Linked DNA regions of Schizosaccharomyces pombe. Changing the gene in region 1 together with any one later gene gives a genetic interaction. Each region holds a gene or a part of one and is shown in the gene's direction. Other genes may lie near its edges.

What was found. A genetic interaction does not mean that the proteins touch.
Region 2: mutations in SPOM_SPAC18B11.09C (region 1) and SPOM_SPAC144.17C together harm fitness more than expected from each alone (negative genetic interaction), as found in Schizosaccharomyces pombe (one large-scale study listed by BioGRID).
Region 3: mutations in SPOM_SPAC18B11.09C (region 1) and jmj2 together harm fitness less than expected from each alone (positive genetic interaction), as found in Schizosaccharomyces pombe (one large-scale study listed by BioGRID).

Annotation. Positions count from the first base shown.
Region 1 is NC_003424.3:300,574-304,809, forward strand, and holds SPOM_SPAC18B11.09C (serine O-acetyltransferase activity), read left to right. Parts: upstream 1-2,428; 5' UTR 2,429-2,587; coding exon 2,588-2,658; intron 2,659-2,760; coding exon 2,761-3,067; intron 3,068-3,097; exon of another isoform or gene 3,098-3,142; coding exon 3,143-3,220; exon of another isoform or gene 3,221-3,278; coding exon 3,279-3,446; 3' UTR 3,447-3,588; downstream 3,589-4,236. Other genes in the region: transcriptional corepressor Tup11, read right to left, coding at 1-690, 863-947, 1,015-1,138; protein pat10, read left to right, coding at 3,890-3,962, 4,101-4,158, 4,198-4,236.
Region 2 is NC_003424.3:4,685,599-4,691,440, reverse strand, and holds SPOM_SPAC144.17C (6-phosphofructo-2-kinase), read left to right. Parts: upstream 1-2,287; 5' UTR 2,288-2,609; coding exon 2,610-2,928; exon of another isoform or gene 2,929-2,978; coding exon 2,979-3,919; exon of another isoform or gene 3,920-3,963; coding exon 3,964-4,053; 3' UTR 4,054-4,339; coding exon of another isoform or gene 4,340-4,879; 3' UTR 4,880-5,139; downstream 5,140-5,842. Other genes in the region: GDP-mannose transporter Vrg4, read right to left, coding at 234-1,271; cia2 (sister chromatid cohesion protein), read right to left, coding at 4,340-4,879.
Region 3 is NC_003424.3:1,803,845-1,809,087, reverse strand, and holds jmj2 (histone demethylase Jmj2), read left to right. Parts: upstream 1-2,290; coding exon 2,291-4,438; 3' UTR 4,439-4,540; downstream 4,541-5,243. Other genes in the region: SPOM_SPAC1002.07C (N-acetyltransferase Ats1), read left to right, coding at 170-288, 347-381, 428-458, 550-660, 712-846; bouquet formation protein Bqt2, read left to right, coding at 1,307-1,370, 1,446-1,605, 1,686-1,818; transcription factor TFIID complex subunit Taf11, read left to right, coding at 4,716-5,243.

The DNA of each region.
Region 1 (4,236 bases):
CTTTTGCATGCTGGGTTATAAGTGACGTACCAACTCTGAGAAGTTGTCTTTCTAGCAGCTTCTGTATCTGAAACTGGAGCAATCTGTTCTCTTCCCTGATATTCTCCATCAGGACCCGCTTGGGATATAGAACCAGCATTCGCAGAAGCAGTCATAGAAGGTTCAGCCGAAGGAGTTGCTTTGGTAGGAATACGCGGTGGCTGGACATTCACAGCAGGTTTTGAAGTAGCACTTGGATTATAATAATTGGAAACACCAGGCAATTGAGGATTTGGTTGTTGAGAAACCTGATTTGCTCCGTAATTAACAGGAGGGATATATAAAGGTGTAGTACTAGGTAAATTGGATGTAGATATCGCGGGATTTTGAGAAGCAATTCCCTGATTAAAATTTTGCCCGCTAGAAGCCTCTACTGAAGGAGGAATTGGAGGCATCAATACTTCAGCAACATTATTTTGAGGATAAGCTGATTGGTGAATTGGAGGGATTTGCTGAAAGGCAGGTAGATGGTTACTTGGAGGCTGAGAAGTAGATTTGGTTTGAGAGGGATGTTCCTGATCAATATGGGTAACTTGATTATTAGAAGCGGCAAGTTCAGATCTTTCTCCACGATTTCTATAACTTGCGGTATTCGCTTCGACACCTAATTCTTCAAGCTCTCGCTTCAACTTGTTGATATCTTTTTCGTACCTATAAATGTTAGTAAATTGGTGAAGACAGATGTTATAAAGGTTTTTTTTTTTTTACTTCAAGCATATAAATCTCGAGCGACACGTATGCTATTATAAAATAATGATGAATTTCACAGAAAAGAAGTAGATACTATATAATCCCTCGATACCTTTAACATATAAAAACTTACGTTTCTCTAATAGATTTTTGTTTTTCATACATATCATCCACGGTTTTTCGGAACGCTTCAATTTCTTGAATTTGAGATTGTATCACTGCAATAGAACAGAATGTTAGTTTCCAAAAAATAGCTAATTTAATTTATTTTATTCAAACACGTACTAGAAGATTCATAGTCGTTTCCGCGCGCCTTGGACGCGAAGCTATGATGAGCCAAAGCATTGTATTCAGCCTTCAACGCATCCAGCATTTCTTGAACTTTCGTGGCATCCTCCACTGACGCCATTTTTTTTTTCAGTCAGACTTATTGCAAAAACTGAATCCGATTGATATACGCCCTTTTACAACAATAGCAACACTTGAATTGTGGTACAAGAATAAACTTGTGTTCTTGAACGTTTGTAGCAGCACTTTTATCGAGCGGCTCCTTGTGCTGCGCTAATCTTTAAATAGAGAATGTGGTGCTACATATTTTTGGTTGAGCAAGTATCACAAAATTAGTATGGCGTGTGTGTTGGCAACTTGTCCCAATTATTTTGAAATTCATTTGAATTATAGAGAAAAGCAATTCGAAACCCTTTACTGTTTGATTTTTTGTAGCGTTTATATTATTTTTTTGAATATAGATTTTCTTGCTTTTCAGTTGATGTTTGTTATAAAAAAATAGTTATAACTTTGAAACGTAGTGTAATTCATTTTTTTTTTATTGATGGAAAAATTTGTTAACCGTTTTTATATATCAATATAAAAAAATTAAAATTTGTGTTTAATCAATTTATTATCTGATCCTTGTTTAATTAGATTGTTTACCGACCTTTGTAAGACATTATTACAGTGAGTTTTATCTTGATAAGTATTAATTAAAAGTTATGATAGTATTTAACCCGTAAATTCACATTTCATTTGCTAATGACTCAGTTAATCATAAGTGACATTATTTGTTTAATGATGCGAAATTTGACGCACTTTACTGATATTAAAACATTGTTGGTTGTCTTAAAGATGCTTTTTTCATATAATCTAGTTATCATGAAGAAGGATGAAAAAATCCCATAGTTGAAATTTATTAACACTAAAGCAAAATGTTTAAGCGCAGCAAACCGAAGCCGTCAGAAATTGAGCATTTAATCTGACACGATATGCCATTTACACTTCAAGGGCGATTAATAAATACACTTTGGATTTATTTTTAAATCATATTTATTGCTTATTTACTTATCAATTTTTGTTTGATGTACTATTTAAGTTGTTTTGAATTTTTTTTTTATATGACATTAGTTTGGGATTACTACCCAGTTTAATCAGTTTAATGATACAGGAGGAAAGCAAGATTAAAAAAGGGACGGACAACGTTCATTGCATATCTTGTTATTGCTTGTCAGTTTACGGCCCTCAGCGTTTGTTAAGCTACACTAACTATTTACTTGTAACTTGATAAATTTTGGTATGCTGGTGGTAATACGAGTAGGGGCCAGACATAAAGCAATGCGACAATTAATGATATGTTGCATAGTGGGGCATAATGTAGTGTAACAGCTGACGCTATATATCATCGAGATGTTTTTACTTACGTTTTACAAACTATTTCACTAAAAAGTTTCCGTATAGTTTTATCAGCAATTTGTTAATATTGATATCAATACATATATATATATATATATAAGTCTATTTATACATCGATAACTCTACTAGTCCCATTGTCAATGCTAGTGAATATACTTGTTTTCCGACAGAAATGACTCGTACTCGTGTACAAAAAATGATACCGAAAACCATTGAATACCAAAAAATGATATCTGGTCAACCGTAAGGCTAATGCTTAAAACTTGTCGAGCTAATATATCATCTTCGTTGACATGTTTGAAGTCACATTGAACGCAGGGAGATATTCTAATTACTAAATAACAGGTACAAGGCTTACGACGAGGAGTTGACTCAAGCGAGATGTAATGCTAAAAAATTAATGCGAAGGTTTAATGACACTATGGGAGATTTGGAAAATGTAGGCCCAGCAGAATTGATTAAAAGACGAGCTGAACTGTTGGCTGAAGTTTTTGTATTTGACGAATCTTCAGCACCAGAGATTGAGCCACCTATGGCTTTTGATTACGGATTTAACGTTCATTTTGGAAAAAAATTCTTTGCAAATTATAATTGTACATTTCTAGATGTTGCCATAATTACTATTGGTAATAATGTAATGCTAGGCCCCAATGTATGTTTATATATATATATAGTTACTTTCAAGTCATTCATTCAAAAAATAAATATACTAATGGTGTCTTTCCAGGTTCAACTATGTACAGCAACACATCCCTTGGATTTTAAAGCAAGGAACTCCGGAATTGAATTTGGTTTACCAATTAACGTATGCGTTAGTCCAGTTATTGAAACATCTTACAACTAACAAACAAAATTTTATCAAGATTCAGGACAATGTTTGGATTGGTATGGGAGTTATAGTTCTCCCAGGTGTTACTATCGGGGAAGGCAGTGTAATTGGAGCGGGTGCTGTTGTTACAAAAGACATCCCACCTAATACGTTGGCTGTAGGATCACCTGCCAAACCTATTCGTAAAATTGAAAACGAGTGAACGAGTGTAATTTTTTTTTTTATTATTTCATCTAACGATTAAATGCTCTTTGAACTTCTTAAGTTCACCTGGCTTGGTTCCTAAATTTTTAAAATAGTATAAATAATATTATATTATGTTTGAGCTTTAAATTGTTATATAGAAGACTTAGAATGCTAAAAGAAATCCATTTCTCACTCGCCAAGTAGGATCAGTTTCCTCCTATGACTTGCTAAAGCCCCCACGTGGTACTGCAATCGATTTTAATTCTAATGCTTAGCCAAGTCTAAAATAGTTGAAATTCTTAGTGGGATAAGAACTCTTAACCCCCACGATATATTTGAATGCTAAATAACCTAACCTAAAACCATTTTACACATTTTATTACTAACTTCATTATATTCTTGTAGAGGAACCATCCCATTCACCAGTTCTGAAGTCTCGACAACGAAAATTCATAAAATATGGCGCCTGCAGAACTTAAACGACCTGATTTAATCGTTCCCTACAAAGCTAGAGTCAAAGCAAATGAAGAAGGTAAAGTAGAAAGCACTTTCAAATTGAACCCAATCGTGAGTTACGCTGATTTAATCGCTCAAGCTTTAGTTCATTGTGGAATATTTTAAATCCTTTCTTTCGTCAAATAATTTATTAAGTTTGCTAACCCTATTATAGTTGGCTTGAGTTTGGTAAGCACAGCCACGTGTATGGCTGCTTTATTTCTTCGTTTCAAGTATGTAAGATATTTTAGGATTTTCATGTTAACGAGAAGATTAATTGCATGGGTTGCTTTTATCCTAACCTTTTCAAA
Region 2 (5,842 bases), 4.4 Mb from region 1:
AATTGTAATTGAATGTCAGTGTTTTATCTGTCAAAATATTTCAAACCTAATAGTCACGTTGTAATAAACGACACGATCTCGTAATCAGGTTTTTATCGAACACGAGTAAAAGCGGTATATTTTGAGTAACGGTAATAAAAACTTTTTAAGTAAAAAGAAACAAAGTCTATTCTCTTATGCAGGCTTGAAAAAATTTTGCAAATTAAACATAAATAATAACCAACACAAAGGGTTTAAGACTTTGACAGACTATCGCGCATGCTTTGAGAACTAGCACTAACGGGATTATGAGTCATAGGGAGGATGGTAGCAGGATCTTTCTGACGTTGCTGTTGAGATTTAGCAACGGCATAAACAACACCAGAAATAAAGCCCAACAAAATAGCGGTAACAGATCCAAAAGTGATGGGTGCATCAAAAAACACTAAACCGGCAATAGCCAAGGGAAGTTTGTTAAGAGCACCAACCATACTATAAGTTGTCGAAGAAGTTACGCGTACACACCAGGCAGAGGTGTAAGAAATTCCTACTGAAGAAACACCACTAATAGCCATAGCCATTAGAACACCAAATTTGGCATCAGGAGGGAAATTTTGAGCAATGTTTTCAGCACTCCAGTCCTCAGTAAAGAGCGTGCAGATAACCAAAACAGGGATACTGAGTAAGTTGTTATAAAACATGGTATCAAAGTCACGAAAGTTGGTAAGTTTGATACGCTTACGCATCGCGAGAACAAAAGCAGCATTTGTGAGACAGTTAAGCACCATCCATAAATAGCCAGAATTTAAGGTTTGGGAAGCAAATGAGGAAGACTGGATGTCTGCCCAAGCAGCGACAATAGAAGAAAGAACCATTAATCCAAAAGAAAAAAGAGTTAAAGCAGTAACATGCCCGCCAAACCAAAGGACCTCACCATAAGCAATGATAATAATAGTTAAATTCTTAAATATAGTGTACACTGGAACAGAAAGAAATTGCAAAGCCTTCGATGCAGTATAAATCATAGCTACCAATAAAAAGGAAATAGGAAACCAAAATTTGGCCTCACGAAAATCAAAATCCCTATAATTAATAACTTTCAAACGTTTTAGTATCCCAATGGCTGCTACACAAACAGTGGATTGTACAGTCAAAAGGAGAAAGTTCATATTGTAACCAGGACTCGAAAGAACATATTTATTGGTCAAAGTCATCAATATGGAAGCCATGCAATATGACACCACTGGAAGAATCGGTGATTTACTAATTCGGTTTAGCATATGATTATCCATTGTTGTTGGAATTTCGTGATGGCTCCGGTGAAGTTGTCTACATACCTACCCACCATGTTTGGAAGGAGCGCGTACGTAACAGGCCTTACCCTTCCTCAAAGACACAGTCCATTGGTAACAAGTTTTGGCATACAGATTGATTAACATCTCTGTTGATCAAACTTAAATAACTTGGTCTTCTCATATAAAATATAATTATTTAAATACTTTTTTGTTCATCTATAAAAGAGTATTTTCGCCTGCAAGCCACACTTAATGTTACACCAATTCATATGTTTTACAACAAAGTATGAGCATTTACTGTAAAAGCTGTGTTTGAATTGTTGTGAAATTCCTTAGTGTATGAAGATCGTTTTCCAGTCGAAGTCGATCATATATAAAGTCGCGATGCAGATACATATACAATTTAAGCATTTGTTGGAACTAGAGAGGCAAGGGAATTGACTCATATTATAATAGATGATTGGAGTATAACCGTATAGACAATGACCTTTCTACATGGATCTTTCGTTTCGTTCAATTGGACTATAAATTTATAAACGAATGCAATGTGGGCTACTTACAAACGCTTTTTCGTAGATAATAGTCTAGTCTTTAAACCATAATAGCTATTAAGACGTTATTTCAAAAGTAAAAGTGCAGAAAGAAGTGTTGACGCAGAGAAGACGATTGATGAAGTACAACTATAAAATAATATACATGCGTTTAGGTACTCGCATGTTTTAATCATGGAATTGGCTAAAAAAATCTATGAGTTGTTGGGAAGTGTTCAGTAATTCTCAATGCCACTTTCAATAATCAAAAATCAACTGAACTTGCAAATGCAAAACATGTAGTATAAGTATGCGAAAATACCCCACCATTAGAAAGCTACGCATCTTAAACTCCTATGGGCGTTTCCAATTGCAGATATGTACGGTATATTAGGGCACGCTTAACTTTGCTAAAAATTAATTAACGAAGTGCAACCACAGATGTATTGCGTAAAGCACTACCGATGTTTAGCCATCCGTCTTAAACGAGCATTGTGCCCATATCAATTGTAAGAAGCTCTTCTCTGTATATAAGCAGTCGACCTCTTGCAAACCGCAGTTTTTAGTAGGAATTGGTATTACACTCATTGTAAACAACATTCTGCATATTTCACCTTTGTGGAAATCATTTATCAAAATACCCACATACAAGGCACACATTGTAAACATTGTGGTTGCAAAGGATTTAAGTACATTTCAATCAGATTTTGGACCTTCCTATTTAATTTATAAATAATTTATATATAATCGCATATATTATATTAAAACTCTAATTATAAACAGCTTGCTTTGATTAGACGTTGCGATGTCGCGCAGAAATTCAATTGCGGTTGAGCAGGCAATCAATCCAAACATGCTTCGCGCTGCCAATCGAAGCTCTGAAGCCTTACTCGATAATGAAAAGTTTGGAGGTGTGCAACCCTACAGTACAGAGAGCGGTATGCTCTTTCATGCCGGAAAGCTCGTAATCATCATGTCTGGCTTACCGGCTAGAGGCAAGTCTAATATTGCTGTGTCGATAGACAGATATCTGAGGTGGTTGGGATTTAATTGTAGATTTTACAGTCTTGCGAAATACATAGACGAACGCACTAGGGAAATGACTAGTTCGCCTGTGAAATCTGGTAAGCTGAAACTATAGTCGACGTTTTGTACCTTTGCTAACTTATAACAGCTGCATCAGAAAATCATGTTTTTAGTAGGAATGACACAATTGAGAGATGTTTAGCAGACTTAGAGATTTTTTTACTTAAAGAGAAAGGTCAGGTTGCTATTTACGATGCAACAAATGGTACTAGACGTACACGTCGTATTTTATATGATAGGTTCAAGAATTGCGGGTTTAAAATCTTGTTTATTGAAAGTCTGTGCAATAAAGAGGATGTCATCAATGCGAATATTCAAGAAGCAATTCATGTTTCTGAGGAATTTCGAAATTGGGATTTGGAGATGGCCGAAAAAGAATATTGTCGTCGAATTGATATTCTCAAATGCCATTATGAAACCATTGATGAAAAGGACTATTCCTTTGTTAAAATGATTAATTTTGCTGAAACCATCATCGCAAACAAAAGTAATGAAGGTTACCTATTGTCTAGAATACTGTTCCTTCTCATGAACATGACTTTGGCGAGAAAACGTATCTTTTTGGTGCCGAAAGCTTCTATGAGACCGTTAAAATTACGAGAACCAGAAGATGACATAGAAAATCGCCAATTTTCTGAATATGTAGCTGATCGTATACGTAAATCTTTCCCAGATGTTTCTTTCAAAAACTTACACGTATTATCCTGCATGGAGGACTCTGTAATGAGTCCATTTCGAGAACTGGGTTCTGTTACCTCATCTATGTCGAGTCTTTCCCCGATCTTAATGGATTCATTTGGAGACGATTTACAGAAATTAAAAGAAACATATGGCGAAGAAGAGTATAATCTTTACCTTGTAGATCCTTACAGATATAGAGTTAAACGGAAAGAATCATTTTATGATTTGGCTGTTCGTTTAGAGCCTTTAATACTGGAATTGGGTCGGGAGCAGCGTGATGTTTTGCTGATCGGCTCTAAAAGCATAATACGGGTTTTTTACGGTTATTATATGAATGTACCAGCTAAGGTAAGATTTCTGACATTGTCCATTGCAACTTACAAATAATTTAGGATATCCCCCAATTATGCCTTTCTTCATCCTCAATTTACGAATTGATCGAAAGCAGCACCGGCATGACAGTCAATGAGTATGACTTATGAATGGCATTTTCCAATGTCTGTTTTCTCAGACAAAAAAATGCTAATTGTTTTTAATAAATGCGCATGACCAATTATATATTGAATTGTGAGTTTGTGCACAAAAATTTAATACTACTTGTAAGTCGTATCAAAACTAGTAAAGTGATATTTTAGTGATAAATGAAAGAAAAGGTCTTGATTTCGTTGAACAAAAAAAAAAGATTATATACCAATCCATATAAAGGGAACAGCAACCAGGGATCCGATAAAATTAAAAAACTAAGAAGTTATTGTCATATACAAACGCTTAAACACAGGTCGCCATCATTCCATTCAAAACAGATAGAAGTTGCTCATTTTCACAGGCAGCCGCCACTCGTTCCTTATCGTTCAGTTGTTTGTTTACTTGAGACTCACTCGCGTGGGTACCTTTTTTAACTTTCACATCGACATGAAAACGGGGAGGAAGACAGCGTTCGAGGCGAACTCGAATGCATAAACCGATCAATGTGCACATAGAGCAATGAGGGATAGTTGGAGTAATGTGAACTGTGATATAAGAATCGCCTTCAACATTATCAACAACCTCAATGTCTTCTAATTTGACGACCGATAACTGAGCAAGAGTTAATGGATGTTCTGGATCATTTATTTTAGCTAGAAGGTCGTATATTTCTTGTGGATCTATTGGATCTCTTTCTTCCTTTATGTTAGTCTGCTCACTTTCAATCTCGGTTAGCCATTGTTTCGTAGAACTCAACAATAGATCCTCTTCTTCTTCAACCCTAGATGGCAATTGATTTAACTCCTTTACTTCCGGGTTTTCGTTCTGTAAATTTGCACTCATTTTTTTTTTAAATTAATAACTAATAAATGACTAAAGACTACTATGAATATCACCTTCGATAGTGTGAATTTTGGAAGGCATAAAATTTAATTAACCTCAGGATGAATAATTGTCATTTTGGATTACGTAGTGCGTTATCAAAGTCAGCACTTGCCACGCTCAACTACCATGCAGTTAGCGTTAACACTTTACTATATGCTACGTGTCGACAAGCCCCTAGTAAATTAGACTACGAACGTTAATTATCAGTACTTCTTATATGTCTTATTAAGTATTTATACTTATTGTACGGTAGATATGCATACTTTATTTGAAGTGATTATAGTCACATTAGAAACTGTAAATGGCCTAACTAAACCCACGTTCCGCAACCAATAATAAATCATTTCAAATTAAATTATAAACACCATGCAATATTTTGATTGTAGCCTACTATCTATTTACGATTGATATACTTACATAAACAAATGTATTAATCGCAAGAGAAACTCAGTATCGCAGTCTCTTGCATGCTCAAAAGGGTGTGAGTTTTGTATTTTCAGCTTAAGCTTTCAATACTCATAACATACAAGTAATACGAGATATTTGAAAATTTATTACTGACTAGAAAAGGCATATAATCACTCCAACTACCTAGAACTGGGAGACACACAGTTGTAGTCCAATATCCAAGCAATAGATTGGCATACTATGCTAGTCAGAAACTAAGCCTTTATTTTAATTGAAATAGATAGTAGTAATTACACTGTGTCAATAGTTGGACACTAGCATTTTATAGCGTTTGTTAAATAATGAGAGACAATGAACAATACGATGGTAATTTCTTTAACGAAAATGCTGAGCACCCCACTAACTGATTTACTAACTCATGTAAATGACCATAATTCATTTACATACTTACTATGATACCAGAAATTCATAGTAATTCAATACAAAATACTAGCCTTGTCAAACACCTATAGT
Region 3 (5,243 bases), 1.5 Mb from region 1:
TCACAGGGTCTGATTCTCTTATTGAATTGGAGATTACTCTTAAGCTTTTTATATGGATTTGAGAATATATGGTTTTCGTCAGCAGGGTCGATCTCTACTTCTGTCCGCATGCTATCAGATCAGTTTGTGTTACTATTTAAAAACCGGTTTTAACATTTTGTTTATGAAGAATTTGAAAAATGTGAAGATCAAGTGGAAGCGACAATTCCGAATTTAGAAGTTGCATTTGGATTTATTGACGAGGTTACTCCTGTGGCATATGGAGTATTCATCGAAGAAAATGATCAGGTTCGTAAAAAAAAGTAAACTTGCTTGATCTTTTTTACTAATCTATAATTGCCATCAGCCCGCAGGAATGGCTATATATTTCCTAAATTTTAGGTAGTGAAAAGTTCCGTTTTGAAATATATGAGCTGACGTTGAATAGCACGTGGACTAGCAGAGTGGGGATTTATTTAGTATGTTCTTATCATATTGTCCTTCATAACCTTTTTATTGAAGGATTAACTTTTGATTTCATAGCAAGATTTTAACCATTCAATTTCTTAGGAGGACTTATATGTTCGACCCCAATTCCGTGGAAAAGGATATGGAAGCTACTTACTGTCTTATTTAGCACGAGAATCACTTAGAATTGGTGGCAGACGTCTTGACTGGGTTGTAAGTTGTTTATAACCCATTTCTTTTTTTATACCTTGACTAATACCCTAGGTCCTTGATTGGAACCAGAGAGCCATTGAAGTCTATGAAAAGGCTGGAGCACAAAAAGTTGGAGGATGGAGTATGATGAGAGTCACCGGCGAGAACCTAAAGGCTCTTGCTGATAAACTTCCCGGCAACTTTTAAACTCATACCCAATACTTAACGCTCTAAAAAATTGAAGCATGATATGTTATACCTTTGAAACCTTGAACTGGAAAGAGGAAAATTAATTTTTTATGATTGAAAGATCCTGGATCTTGTAGTTTCGTTTTAAAGCGGTCATTTCAATGTCTTTAGGTTATTTCCCGTTTACCAAAAAATACGATATCAATTTACATCTTACATTTTTTAAAATTAAAAAATAAAGAATCCTTTTTTTTGCAAAGTAAATTATTAGAACTGGTATATTGTTCTAATGTTAATTCCTATAAAACTAATTTGATCGTTTTCCTTTCAATTCATCAAATCGGCTTCTTATTGTGTATTAAAAAATAGAAAGAAAGTATTGGTTAGTATTCTTGAATATCTTTTATTGTGTTTCTTTTTCGAAACGCGTCGCGCGCAATTGTAAACAAACCAACTACCTACAACAGTTTGCCTGTCAATGTTTCAAGGAAAGTGCGCCTTTTTTGATGAAACCGTACCTTCTGCATTAATTGCTTTATGGCGTAAGTTTTAAAGGTTTGATGTGCACTTGTTTGTTGTCGAATGATTTATGGTTCAGTTGTTCTTACTAAAGATAGAATTACACAACGGAGAAGCGAAATTTTTAGCAGAAGGTTATGAAAATTTTGATTATGCATTTTCAATGCATCTAAGAAAGCACGTCCGCTTGCCAAATTACAAATCAGTTCAATGTCGTTCTCCTTGGTGGATTGCGGAGCAAGTAGCTGTTTCCAGAAGGTATTTATTAAATTTACTAAATATTGCATTGATAGTTTATCTTATCATTTACCAAGGCAAGTACTAACCACCATTATTAGCAAAAGTTACGTTTCTGAACCTGTCATTCATTTGAACGTGATGGAACCTTTATATGTTGATCACAGAATACGTTCAGTGTATCTACAGCCTCTGCCATCCACGCTTTCTTTTCTAAACGGTGAATTACCTTGAAATGCTTTGGTGCTGATATGGCGTTGTTCCGATTGTAAATTCTATGCTAATTGTGAAAAATACCTTTCCTTTTTCTATCCTTTATAATTTAATGATCGTTCCTTTAGCTCTCAAAATCGTCAACTGAAGTTGTCACAACCTTCACTTAACCATACGTTACGAATATTAATTTAATGCCTATTTATGCTATTAGCCTAAGATTATTTTCGAATTTTACCTAATTTCTTTATTTATATCCCATAAAGACACTTACGTCTTTTCAATGGACAATTGAACAAGTATACATTGCATAAACATAAAAAACTTACTTCATCTAAGTCCGAGTTTAAAAACTGTTGTTTCCATTTATTATTTCTCATTTACGTTTCGTTTCTTTTTTATTCTCTATTTTTTAATTCTTTTTATAATAACTTTTTTTTTCTGGAATCGCTCACCATTCGGACTAATTTATCTACTTATTTGCATAGGAAACATGAGCAAGTCTACTTTTCATCAAACTTCCCCATCTTTTGTACAATACACTCATGCTACAGATAAACTAAAACCTGCACCTCATGGGATGAATACGCGGGGAAATAACTTATCCTCTATGTCAAAAAATACCGGACAAAGAAAACAGCGTTCCAAATCCATTCATGGACTTCCAGTTGCTCCCGTTTTTTATCCTGATAAAGAGGAATTTCAGGACTCTATCGGTTATATTAATAAGATAGCTCCAATCGGTGAAAAATATGGTATCATAAAAATCGTTCCTCCTGCTGGTTGGAATCCACCGATGCAACTTGACATGAACAAGTTTTCCTTCCGTACTCGGCGGCAGGATTTGCATATGATGGATCTTCGATTTCGTGAAATAGTCTCTTACGATGAACGCGTTTACCGTTTTTTTTGCAATCTGGGCATGGAGCTCCCGGAATCATTTTTTATTTCCAATACGTCTATCGACTTATACAGCTTAATGCGTTGTATTGATTCTCATGCATCTCTAAGTGAGAAGGAATTAAAAGTTCATGTATGGAAAAGGATTTTACGAGAACTTTCAATTCCTTTTACTAATGCATCATTAAAGGAAGCAAGTGACTTGTATTTAAGGTATATTTTTCCATTTGAGGATTTCGTCAGAAAATATCAGACCTCTGAGGATCAATGCTTTGAAACTGATCTCTTCCCTAAATTTTTTACAAAAGACGAACATTCTAATATTAGTATTAAAGATCAGAAGACATCTAAACAATTTAACCCCGAAACTAATGAGTCCGTAGGAATTCTTCAAAACCAAGAATCCAAGAGAAATGAGCAGATTAAACAACAATATATGCCAGCCGATAATTTTGGATCAAATGATAATCACTCACATAATAAAAAGCGACGATTGAGCTCTCTGTCAACGAATAACAACCACTTATGTGACAATTGTCACAAACCTGTCAATTGTGAAGTCGAAGATACGTGTAAAGAAGCGTATTGTACTAAATGTATAATTAATCCATATGAGTTTGGGTTTGAAACAGGGAATTATTATACTTTATCGAACTTTGAAAAATACTGTGACAATTTTAAGAAAAATTATTTTTCTAAATTTAAAGACTCGGAGATAACTGAGGATATTGTTGAAAAAGAGTATTGGAAACTCGTAAAAGACAATAATACAAGCCTTGAAGTGGAATACGGTGCAGATTTATCAACCCTTGATCAGGGCAGCGCCTTCCCTAGTTTAGCCAAAAATCCAGTGAATCCTTACTCTAAGGACACATGGAATTTAAATGTTATAGCATCCACAAATGGTTCTCTATTAAGCTATATAGATAATCCTGTTTCAGGTATAACCTGTCCGTGGCTGTACGTTGGAATGTGTTTTTCAACTTTTTGTTGGCATGTCGAGGATAACTATACTTATTCCGTAAATTATCAACATTATGGAGACACAAAATTATGGTATGGAATTCCAGGTGATCAAGCCGAGAGGTTTGAACGCGCCGCTCTTGATATTGCTCCTGATTTGGTAAAAAAACAAAAAGATCTGCTTTACCAATTAGCTACAATGATCAACCCTGATGAGCTACAAAAAAGAGGTGTCGATGTTTATTTCATCGACCAGGGGCCTAATGAATTCGTGATTACCTTTCCAAAAAGCTTTCACGCAGGAATTAATCATGGGTTTAACATTAATGAGGCAGTGAATTTTGCTCCCAAAGATTGGTTACTAAACGGATTCTCTTTGAATGGCGTTTTGAAATATCAGTCACTTCTTAAACCTCCTGTACTTTCACATGATATGTTGGTTTACAATTTAGCGACAAATCCGGCGTCAGAGATAAGTGTGTCTGAGCTAAGGCCTTGGGTGCATGAGGCTGTCAAACGTGAATTAGGTATACGTATCATGATACGAGGACGCTATGATTTAAAGGAAATACTTTATCGTGAATTAATGGAGGATGCCGAAAATTGGCAATGCCAGCATTGCAAAGCATTTTCATACTTCTCTCAAGTTGCTTGTTCTTGCAAGTCGATTACTGTATGTCCATTACACATCGAATATCTTTGCAAGTGCGATTTAAGCAATAAGACCTTACGCCTAAAAGTCGACGATAATGAGTTACAGAAGTTGCTAAGTTATTAAAGTTACATTTATTCTTTTCTAAAACAATTATTTTGCAATTTATAAACCTATATTTTCAAGGTCATTTACAAACATCGTTGGATTCATGTAATGTAAACAATTTGACTATAATCATAGTATTGTACGTTTAAGGAAGCGTAGTGTACTTGCTTATGTATGAAGCAGTTTCCAACCTGTGAAATTTACTTCTTGTACATTCTCACTTTGCATAACAAAATCAAACCCAATTTTTAAACATTTAGAGCTCTTCAGTTTTTTGAAGATAGAAGGGATAAATATGAAACGAACTGGTTCTGCGAGTTCAGTACCTCGATTTCAGCGATCGATGAGCTACGATCAATCTAATTCTCCTACAGCAGGAGCTCATGCAAAGGCAAATACGGCATCGCCTGCTGCTGAGCCTGCTCCCTCATCAAAAGAAAAAGAGAATTGGAATCGGCAAGAAGAAAATGATCTGGAAGAAGACGATAGGGATGACTTTGGTACAGCTGCTATTTCAAAAGTTGCTGGAAAACCTGGTGAAACGGACGACGAAGCTAATGAAAAATTGCGCACAAAATATCTTCTAGAGAGTTTTGATGAAGAGCAAATGCAAAGATACGAAGTGTTTCGTCGTGCTAACTTAAATAAAACCAATGTTAAAAAATTGGCTAACCAAATTTTAAACCAAAGTGTAACCCCCAATGTTGCTATTGTGATCTCAGGATTTTCAAAGGTGTTTGTTGGAGAAATCGTTGAATTAGCTCGAAAGATTCAAGATCAATGGGGGGATACTGGTCCACTGAGTCCTGATCATTTACGAGAG